Cricetulus griseus: one gene and its partners. The protein of the gene in region 2 purifies or fractionates together with the protein of the main gene of each other region. This does not show direct contact. Links are inferred from orthologs where the notes say so. Each region holds a gene or a part of one and is shown on either strand. Other genes may lie near its edges.

Region 1 (3,517 bases), on a different chromosome or scaffold from region 2:
ACCCAGAACACCTGGGCATCTCTCGTTCCACTTGATATAGGCAGTCAAGATTAACTAACATGCTTATTTAAGTTAAAGCACATTAAATAATTTATTTATGATTATGGTGGTTAGAAAAATGAATCATATAATAAAGAAAGGTTTCAGTTTATTAGGCTTTGATCTTCTATCCCCTGCTTCTAATAAATATATTTGAGACAAAAACAAATGTAGTGTTTTATTCTTTATAGGTATTTTGTGGTGTCTGTTGTAACAGGAAATGTAAGCTTCAGTATCTAGAAAAGGAAGCAAGAGTATGTGTAGTCTGCTATGAGACTATTAATAAAGGTGAGTATTAACCTGACATGTTTTCTTCCACTAAATGAATATATATTAAGAAAAACTGGATTGTGACAAAGATAAACTTCTTTATTTTCTTAAGGCAAGGACCTAGTGTTGACTTATCTGGCTTAGGTGGGACATCCCAAGGCTTGGTTTCTCTTTTTGTTCTACTCTCACAATTAACACTACCAGTCTGGAAAGAAAGCGTTCAGGTTCTGGAGTAGCAGTTCATTACCTTTTAACAGGTACTAAGTTCCTAAGTGCTGCATTTCATCCCCCTACTGTTTCATCATCATTGTCATCCTCATCATCTTAATAGAAACATTCATACAAGTAGCTACTTACTGGTTCTCAATATTATATATTAATGTTAAAGGCAAGGTAGTAGTTCTTATCGTTTAGATAGTTGCCTGAAATGAGAATGAGAGATAAGGTATTATATATGATTTTAAAAACTCATAGGACCACCATGCTGTTTGCACATTTTGGTCTCATCTTTTTCCATTTTCATTTTTAGAATGTTATGTGTGTGTTCCCATTGTTTCTTGGCTCTCTAGCTAGTTTCCATTTTTAGCAGTGGTTTTCTTTGAGTTCCCACAGGTTTTTTTGTTTTTGTTTTTGTTTGGTGTGTATGTGTGTGTGATGCTGTGCTTTCACCCCTAGATACATATCTGTTCTTTTGAGTAGTTCTTGCATTTTCAAAAATTTGCTGACCATTTAATTCCCAACGAAAATTACTTGACCCTTTTTTGGCCAGGCCTATGAACTAGCTCCTATTAGCCAGGAGAATAAATACCTGATAATAATTTGTTTTTCTCTTTTGAATGAAGATAAATTTTTTCAGCAATTCTCCAAAAAGCTCTGATGTGAGTCTGTTAGCCTGAGGTAAGCTGTTCTACTCCCTGCTGTTGACCTATACTCTGGAAGATAATAAAATATAATTTTTAAAAATATTTTTTATGTTATCACCATTGTTTATTAAGAAGCTACCTGCTTATAATTGTTTTTCTTCTTGCAGTGTATCTGTAGCCTAGAAGACAGCTGCCAAGGTTATTAGCCCAAACAGTTTGCCAAAATTCAAATTTTAGGGAAAGTTCTTACTTAAAAAGCCATGAAAATTTGAGTTAACAGGTCATTCTGACTATACAGTCCAAGAGAGAAAAAGATATGCTTATTAAAGAGACTTAATAGAATACTGAGATAAAATTATGGTCTATCGTCAATGATATAATGTAGAGGAATAGAAATGTAGCTCAATGTTAGAGTGCTTGTCTAGCATGTACAAGAGCACGAGTTTAATACCCATTAACACACACACACACACACACACACACACACACACACACACACACACGGAATGAATTATTTAGATACTTGTTTTCTATAATTATTTAGATACTTGTTTTCTATTTCAATATCTTATGTAGTTTTTATTTGAGTTTTTAATATTTTATTTATGAGCTATTAGTGGTAATATATTACAATAAAATGTCAACTATAGACTAGAAAATGATGGAAGTGATCATTTAAGCAATGCTATCAGATGTGAAAAAGATGATTCAAAGGTTGTGTGATGAAGTCAGTGAAGGAATGAAAGAAAAATTGAGTAGAAATTGTGGACAGTGAGAAAGTTGCTGAGATTGTGTGAGTTTTATCGGCATGTGAATGATTCTGATAGACTTGGAATCTAGAATGTGGATTTTACTGGTTAGTAGAAACAGTTTCCAAGAGTGCTGTCATGTAGTGATATTAAGGAAGATTGTAGCTGTGATAGCACTTACGGTCTTTCAGTTTAGAGAAGTGCTGAAGGTGTTGTTGCCAGTACTGCTCTTTTTTATTGAAAGATCATTCAGTGATATTCAGACACTATTCTGTATTCTGGAGTTCCAGCTGAGAACAAAATAGATGTTCTGTTGATGTGGGATTGTTGAATGTGGAGATAAGGGGATAATAAACAGATGGTAATAATACCCTAAACTTAAAATGTACAAAGATAGAAACAGATTAGTGGCCATAATAATGCTTTATGATAATATGATGTGTGACTAGGGACTTGAAAGAAACAGACTGGATCTATGTGAGAACCTGTAGAAGAACACTCTAGGCAGAGGGAGAATAGATAGCCCAAGCTGTACTTGCTGAACTTGAAGAACAAGGAGGCACAGGTCGCTGGTTCCTGGTAAGTCCTTGGGTTGTACTGAGAGATGAGACTAGGGATATAGAACCCATAGGACCTGTCATTCGAAAGACAACCTAAGTTTTACTCAACTAGAAAACCATAAAGGATTTAAACGGAGTGTTAAGGAAATAATTATTTAGGTCTTAAAGAATCACTCTGGAGCATGTTGCTAGTAGATTCTAGGAGTAAAAGGGCAAAAACAGAGATATTCATACTCAATAAGGATGATTTTTCTGTAGTAGATATCAAGCATATACCAATTAAAAATATTGAAATAACTTGTCTATAACTTACCAAAGTGGAGTGCTGCCAGCTAAAGAAAGGAGCCTGTACATCTTTGTCAAGTACCACTTTCTCTTGATTGGCCATTTATTTCTTTCTCCTTACAACTTGAAAATCAAATTATTATAGCTTTCTTGAAAGTTTAAAAACATGAGTTTTTAATACTATTCTTTCCCCCTTTATAGCTCAGGCATTTGAAAGGATGATGAATCCCAGTGGTTCTTGTCTTAAGTCTAATCATTCTAAAGATTGTGCCACCACCCAGCCACTTCAGGAGACCCACACATCCAGTATACCTTCACCTACAGCTTTGCCCATCTCAGCACTGAAACAACCAAATGTTGAAGGTAACCAGAGTAAACTGCTGTGGTTTACACGTAGGATTAGTTATTCAGATAGAAATGCTCTGGCAGTCAGAGCCTAGACAGGAAAGAGAAACCCATTAAGGTCAAGAGGGATGTATACAGGGAATTGGTTAAACATGTATGTTGGAGACTGAAGACCCGCTCAGGAGTCTCATAGACAAATAACTGCAGAAAGCTGCCGCCACCACTAGGACTGGGGGATGAAAAGGGAGAAAGCAATAGTAGCACTTAGAGAAGAATACTTGGTGGTGCTTAGCTCTCAGATATGGGGGTTAGGGGCTAAAGCACCATATGTCTGAAGCTGTGCTCTCTGGGAAAATCAGTATGACAAATACTGGAAGCATCAAGGGAGTTTCTTAGGGCTAGTGCT
Region 2 (4,184 bases):
ACACAGATACACACACATACACATAATTTATATTTAAAAAGTTTTAAGCCAAAACCTGGAATAAAGGTCAAGTTTTCATATTCTTACCCATCCTGGGTCTCAGGCTCCCAAGTATCATTTGCATATTGTAAAACTAGAGAACCTGATAAATTGTGGCTCTAATGCTTGGCCAGTGAAACCCTATACATTATGGTATTGGCTTAAATCAAGTATCCATCAGTATTTTGTCAGGGTTGCATGAAAATCCTGTGCTGAAAATATATAGTCCATGTCCCAGGAGCTTCCAGAGTCTTGTCTGAAGGGGAAAAAAAAAAAGACTCGCTGTCTCTGAGTCTATAGCCAGCTGGCCCAAAGTGAATGTTTGGTAATATTATGAACATTAAATATGTGGAAATTTGACCTTTCATGATTTAAAAAAAGTTAATAGAATACAACATGTTAAAAAGTATAAGTAGTGGGGGCTGGGGACCATTGGCTGTTCTTCCAGAGGTCTTGAGTTCAATTTTCAGCAACCACATGGTGACTCACAACCATCTGTCAAGATCTGGTGCCCTCTTCTGGCTTGCAGTCAGAACGCTGTATACATAATAAATAAATCTTTAAAAAAATTTAAGTAACAAAATAAAACTGGTGTTAAAGGCTGGGTTTTAATGATCACGACTGTAATTCCAACACTCAGGAGATCTGAATTTGAGACTAGCCTAGGGAGAGTATATATTAAAAAAAAAAAAAAAAAAGGCTGCAGAGTATGAGGAGTGAGATGGTTCACAGGTACTAGCTGCCATGTTTAGTCTGTGAGACCTACATAATGAGGATTGCTGCATGTTGTGATTTTTGACCTCTGTATTCACCATGACACACACACACTAAAGAGAATTAAAACATGTCTTATAAGGATAAGTCAAAGAAGAAATCACCGTCATTGAATGCCCATTACTGAACAATTTGCATGTCATCTTAATACTCTCAAAGCGTTATGGATAGTGTCCCCCTTTACCACTGAGGGAAACAGATGCAGAAAAAGCACTGTCCCCATTTGCCAAGTAGAACTGCCCTGGACATAGATGGAGTTCATTCGCTGCCTTAAGAGAGCACAAGTCCAGACCCTTGCCTCCTCTGGGCTACCCACAGGTGGCTCGTGGAGCAGGGAGACATCAAAAAGTCAAGGAGGCTGTTACTCTCAGGGCTACGTCCCCAGGACTAAAGGCTAAGACCCTGCTACCAGCCTGGGCTTGAGTTTGTGTAACTTGATCCAAGTCTTTCCCTGGCCAGAGACCCAGTTTCCGGATGTGAAGACTTCTAGGCCCCGCCGCAGAGTGAACTGAGGCCTTTCAGGGGCGTGGCCTGGAGGGCGGGGCCTCGGGGCTGTGCTCCAGAGCCGCCGCCCCGCGGGCCGGCCAGCGGGTCACGTGACGGGTCGGCGGCGCCGGCGGTTGCTGTCACCTGATTCTGGGAGCTGGTGGCAGCGGTAGCTGCGGCAATGGACTTTCTCCTGGGAAACCCGTTCAGCTCTCCGGTGGGACAACGCATCGGTGAGTCCCGGGAGCCGCGCGCAGCCGCGCCCCTGTCTAGCTCTGGCCGGGGACCTGTCGGAGTCCTTGGAGGAGGGAGGCAGACGGCGAGGCTGGCGCGGCGCTCTTGGCTCCGCCCCACCTGTGTTTCACCTGATTGACAAGATTGCGGACCAGTCAGAAGCCTCGTGTGGGGATTGATGCTGAGGGTGACCAATAGGCAGGGAGAGGAGGCGGATGTGGCTCAGCCAATGCGCGCGTGCTGGGGTCCGGAGTAGAAGGAGAAAGTTTAGGTTAAAGGGACTGCTGTGGTGAGCCGGTGTGGGGCCCCGCCGCCGCCAGGCTCGGGCAGGCCGAAGGTCCCTCCCGGGTTGGCCGCGCTCAGGTCATTCGCCGCGTCACCGGCCCCTCACATTCCGGGACTCCTGAGGTGTCTGGGCTCGGCCACGCCTCTGTCCCCGCTGTCGGGAGACTCGGGTTTGTGTGACGTCGCCTCGACCGTAGTTAAGGGACGGTGGCCCGGCCTTCCTGGGGTTGTTTGATCATTACATGCATTATTAAGCGCAAGGCACTGAGGATGCTGCCTGACACATGGCTAATGCTTGTCATTGTCACTGTGGTACCACCTTGTGGGGCTGGAGCCCGTGGGAAAGTGCCGGTTCCCAGTACCTACTCAGGTGGCGACATTTCTCCAGGGATGGGTGGTCTGGGTGTGACCCCTCTTCTTGTCTGAAGGGTCCCGACAGCATTGTGTAATTCTTTTTGGTGGCTTTTCTCCTTGGATCCAGACTGAACAGGCTGGATCTTTTAGTTAAGGCATTCTTTGCATTCTTCCTGCCAAGGCTTCCCCGAAGTCGTTAGCCCAGCTTTGTGTTGTAACCGCCACTGCTGTAAGTTTGGAGGTTCTCATCAGTTCTCTGCAGGGCATTGCTAGTGCCTGAAACCCAGGTGCTTCGCAAAAGCCCCATCTTTGAGTCCTCGTTTGTGACCTGGAAAGAGAAGACAACCCTCTTCACAAACTTCCTATGTAAAAACAAGCTAATTATTCCATTCTTCAAAGCCAACCACAAAGTCCTGAGACTTTCTGGATGTGCTTATTTAGGCTCAGTGTGCATATCAGTTGTTCAGAACTCAACACCTCTTCCTACCCTGAAAGGTTGCCTTCCTTGGGCAAGAAATACTTCTGGACAGACAGAATGGTGCTATATCAATACCTCAGTGCTAACTACATCTCACAACTGGACCCTCTGCCTTTTTTATGTCAGAATTGGCTGGACCCATCAGATTCAGACTGGCATCTGTGGAGTTCCCAGTAATGCTCTTTGCAATTGGCTAGGAGACCACAAATTTTACAGGTGTGAGCCACCAGAAGCGGTGGCTCACACCTGTAATCCTAGCACTTGGTAGACTAAGACAGGAGGATTGCCACCAAGTCTCAGGCTACCTGGACTACAAAATGAGTTTCAGGGCAGCATGGAGCTGCAGAATAAGACCCTGATTCAAAACAAAAAATACCAGTCTGCAAAGTCCTGTTACTGAAGGGAGGGGATTGAGTTCTACAAAGGGAAGGTGGTGAAGACTGAGACTCACCCAAAAACCCAGTGAATTGATAGCACAACTGAAATGAGCCTTCCAGGGCTACTAAAGAGGCTGTAAAAGAGCCCAGTGTGGTGGAGCATGCCTATAATTCCAGCCCTCAGGAGGCTGAAGTGGGACTATTTTCAGTTCAAGTCCAGCCTGGACTACATAGAGAGCCCTACCTTGAACAATATCAGTGTTCCATAGTCTTCCATGTATAGAGAGACAGAAGTACTGGAGATTGAAAGGGGTATGTATCTGTCTGTCTGAGATAGAGTCTCAGTTGTTGCCCAGGTTGGCCTGGAACTTATGGACCCAAGCAGTCCTCCCTGATCAGCTTCCAAGTATCAGAGACCTTGTCCCTATGCCAATGGGCCTGGCTGGCTGTGATGATCGATGGCCAGGTTTTAGGTGCTTGCATTCCTGTAATTCAGACCCTCCCCCCTCCCTTTGCTACAGGAGTAAAATGGTGTCTTCTCAGGTCTGGCTTCATGCCCTGAGAGTAGAATCTTGTATGATTGGCATACTAGAGAACAGCAATCACTAAATGGTGCTAATCAGGGCCCAGTGTCACTGTCCTCACAATTCATATACACCTGATGCTTGCTGGTCTCACTGCCTACAATGTCTGCTTCTGGGAGGAGCTGGGCTCATCCCTTAGAGCACTGGGCACCATCACCTCTTCCCTGCGGCCTTTCCTAACTCCAGCTCCAATTGCTGCTCTTTTGTTCTCTTGTCACTCTGCTTCCAGTAGGCACAAAACAGCTCTCACCTCAAGGGAAATCAGAGATAGTTTATCCCTGAGCCAAATATGAATTGCTGTGACCCAGGAACACAGATTCCTATCACCCCAAATAACATGATCCAGTATGGGAAATGGTTTCATGATGTTTTCGTAGCTACAGAAAACAAAAGTAAGCCAGAAATCAGGCAATTGGGATACAGCAAAGCACGAATATCTATGCTGCACTTCTCAGGTGCTAGCTGATGGCATTCCTAGCCCTTGGGTTGGTGGACACTAGTTTTCTATTAACTTATTCCAAAAGTGTTGCCTGATAGTCACAGACTTGTTAGATCACAACTCGGAGATGAGCA
Region 3 (3,517 bases), on a different chromosome or scaffold from region 2:
AACCACAGTAATAGTACCTAATAGCACACACAATGCTCAAATCAATCATAGTGAATCTAACTAAAGTACCACAGTACACAAGTTTTTATACCTATATGATAATTGCAATCTCAAATTTAAAGTGCTAGTTATTGCTCATTATTATAATGATTCTTAAATTCCTCTGATAGACAAAGAGGTACAGCACTCTGAAGAATAGATTACTACCTCTGAGTTTTTCACTAACCCGGGGAAGCATTTCCAAGGCACATTCTCAAGTAGATAGAAAGCTTCCTGCAGTCATCATGGCGTCTGGGCATATGAAAGTAGCTAAAACCAGGGTTGTTCAATTTATAATCTATATCTAGGGATTTGAAAATAGGAAGCCATTAAAATAATAGTGGTAAGTGTTGTTATGGACAGTGTTTTATGAGGAGAAAGTAAAAATTACATAATTGCTCATGTTAATGTAATTATTAATGTGTGTTCATGTTTGTGTACAAAGATCGTTGTGAAGTTATAGGTAGTTTTTCTTCTATTTAAGGTTTTCTAATAAGTTATTTAACCTATTCTTAATAGGCCATGTCTTTTTAAAAATACTTTGATTTTTCATAACCATTCCCTGTATATCATCTGTAGGTTGTACAGACAGCCTTGTCTGAAACTCAGGACCCAGAAGAGGTGTCAGTAACTGTGAAGGCTTTTATGACAGCAGATCTTCCTAATGAACTCATTGAACTGCTGGAGAAAATTGTCCTTGATAACTCTGTATTCAGTGAACACAGGTACGCTGGCAGAGGATTGCACCAGCTTTCTGCTGTCTTTGATTGCAGCCAGTCAGTTTGGGGAGGCAGTTTTCTGAATTGTTACTCCTTGATACTCTGACCTCTTCCTACGCTTTCCCCTGAGACAGATCACCCTCCAGTGCCGTAGTGTTTATTCCTTATCACTGATGGGCTTTATGAACTTTGTGGTTCAATGTCTTGGTTTCTAAAGGAATCTGCAAAACCTCCTCATCCTCACTGCAATTAAGGCTGACCGAACACGTGTTATGGAGTATATTAACCGCCTGGATAATTATGATGCTCCAGATATTGCCAATATTGCCATCAGCAATGAGCTGTTTGAAGAAGCATTTGCTATTTTCCGGAAGTTTGATGTCAATACTTCAGCTGTTCAGGTAATCTTGAAATTAGATAAATTGAGATAATGACTTTGTGTAAAGAATGCATTGCCTTATGATGGCATGCACAGATTGCTGTCACAATAGAATAATCACAAAAATGCTATAGGTAATAATGAATAAGATCCATTTTACTGTAACACCAATTCAAAAATGTTGCCCAGGTCTTAATTGAACATATTGGAAACTTGGATCGTGCATATGAGTTTGCTGAACGCTGCAATGAACCTGCTGTTTGGAGTCAACTTGCAAAAGCTCAGTTGCAGAAAGGAATGGTGAAGGAAGCCATTGATTCATACATCAAAGCAGATGATCCTTCATCCTACATGGAAGTTGTTCAGGCTGCCAATACTAGTGGTATGACTTCTAATCTTTATGCCTTTGAGATCTTAGAAAATTGCTAAGCCAAGCATTTGGATATCTTAACGTTTAATTGTGTGAAAGTTAGATGCTTCTTTATTACTTATGAAAGCTTTTAGCCCAGCATGTTGACCCAGCTAAAGTCTGACTGCATTGTGTGAATTTAGAAGGTCCCCAGAGGTTAATTTTGTATTGAAGTCTAATAAAATCCTGATAGAACTCTGATATGTAACTTTAAAGGAAGCATGTAGGGAAGGTATCAAATATTCTTTGGGTCAATAATACAGAAGTATAGTGGAATTTTTATACTTTCAGGTATATTCATTTTTATGTGTTATTCTATGTGATGTTTCTTTGTAAAGGGAGTTAAGTTGCTGAAGTGATGTACACTTGCCATCCTAGCACTTGGGAAGTTGAGGCAGGAGGCCTTAGGTTCATGGACAGCCTGGGCATCATAATAATCATTGTGTGTGTGTTTGTGGAATGCTTGTGTGTAGGTACATGAAAGGCCAGAGGACAGGCTCTGTTTTCCCCCTTAAGGCACTATCCACTTAAAAAAAAAAAAAAAAAAAAAAAAGGTCTCTTGTTGGTCTGGGTATCACTAAGCAATTTGGGCCAGCAAGCATAAGCATATAGCAAAATCCACAAGCATAAGCATATAGCAAAATCCACTCTCAAAAAAATAAATTAATAATAATTGTAGTTGACGGTGGCGGGGGGCGGGGGGGCGCCGACACACTAATAGCAGATCTTATATATTTGGTTGAGATATAAAATAAGGATGCTAATCTATGGGCTTATTTGTCTCTTTATTTAGGAAACTGGGAAGAACTGGTGAAGTATTTGCAAATGGCCCGAAAGAAGGCTCGAGAATCCTATGTTGAAACAGAATTGATATTTGCGCTGGCTAAAACAAATCGCCTTGCAGAATTAGAAGAGTTCATCAATGGGCCAAATAATGCTCATATTCAGCAAGTGGGTTTCCTGTTTAAATATGTGTGTATGTTTAGTGGGATGCTTGTATATAGGTGCATGCAGAGGCCAGAGGCCAAGCTCTGTTTTTACCACTCAGGCACTATCTGCTTAAAAAACACAGACAGGGTTTATTGTTGGCCTGGGTGTCAAAAGGTAATTTAGGCCAGCTGGCCAGCATGTATAAAGGATTGGTTTGTCACTGCATCAGTGCATACTATCATACTTGGCTTTTTATGTGGGTGGTGGGTATTGAACTGGGTCCTAATGTTTGCAAGTACCTTTCAACTGAATTATCTCACTGGCTCCACATTTTAAACATATGTCAAACTCAAGGAGTAAGCAATTTTATCATTTTGGAAGAATCAACACATTAGTGCTAAGAAATTAAATTATCCTTAGAGGCAGAGTGTGTGTGTGTGTTCATTCATTTTGTTTGTAATTTTGGAGATGGAATCTCTCAGGTGGCCTTGAACTTGGGGTGCTCCTGACTCAACTTCTTGGGTACTGGATTACAGCATATGCAATGTCCCTATCTATTCCTCAGTGTAAAAATATTAACTTGAAAAAGGGATTGAACTGAGACCTCTATTTTACTGATCATGGATTACCTTTTCCCCACTAGGTTGGTGACCGTTGTTATGATGAAAAAATGTATGATGCTGCTAAGCTGTTGTACAATAATGTTTCTAACTTTGGACGCTTGGCATCTACCCTTGTTCACCTTGGTGAATATCAGGCAGCAGTTGATGGTGCTAGAAAAGCTAATAGTACTCGAACATGGAAGGAGGTAATCTAAATCCAAGTTTGAATGATGACTTAAGATTCTGTTTGAAAATTCTGTTTGTACTGTTGAGTTGAAATAACTGTCTGCATTTATATTTGGATTCTCATAGTGGAAAATTATATTCTAGGTCTGCTTTGCCTGTGTAGATGGGAAAGAATTCCGTCTTGCTCAGATGTGTGGACTTCATATTGTAGTACATGCAGATGAATTAGAGGAACTTATCAACTACTATCAGG

The links. The genes of interacting proteins can lie anywhere in the genome.
Region 1: the proteins of Tom1 (region 2) and Zfyve16 purify together in Homo sapiens (affinity purification with western blotting; 3 studies listed by BioGRID and IntAct, with this or other methods). This does not show direct contact. The link is inferred for Cricetulus griseus from reciprocal best matches to the Homo sapiens genes TOM1 and ZFYVE16.
Region 3: the proteins of Tom1 (region 2) and Cltc purify together in Homo sapiens (affinity purification with western blotting, with the first as the bait; 3 studies listed by BioGRID). This does not show direct contact. The link is inferred for Cricetulus griseus from reciprocal best matches to the Homo sapiens genes TOM1 and CLTC.

Annotation. Positions count from the first base shown.
Region 1 is NC_048595.1:311,272,453-311,275,969, reverse strand, and holds part of Zfyve16 (zinc finger FYVE domain-containing protein 16), read left to right. Parts: intron 1-230; coding exon 231-327; intron 328-2,967; coding exon 2,968-3,129; intron 3,130-3,517.
Region 2 is NC_048596.1:150,806,890-150,811,073, forward strand, and holds the start of Tom1 (target of Myb protein 1), read left to right. Parts: upstream 1-1,374; 5' UTR 1,375-1,480; coding exon 1,481-1,532; intron 1,533-4,184.
Region 3 is NC_048600.1:99,946,024-99,949,540, reverse strand, and holds part of Cltc (clathrin heavy chain 1), read left to right. Parts: intron 1-618; coding exon 619-764; intron 765-975; coding exon 976-1,159; intron 1,160-1,326; coding exon 1,327-1,519; intron 1,520-2,339; coding exon 2,340-2,497; intron 2,498-3,119; coding exon 3,120-3,284; intron 3,285-3,408; coding exon 3,409-3,516; intron 3,517-3,517. UniProt on the Homo sapiens protein: Clathrin is the major protein of the polyhedral coat of coated pits and vesicles. Two different adapter protein complexes link the clathrin lattice either to the plasma membrane or to the trans-Golgi network.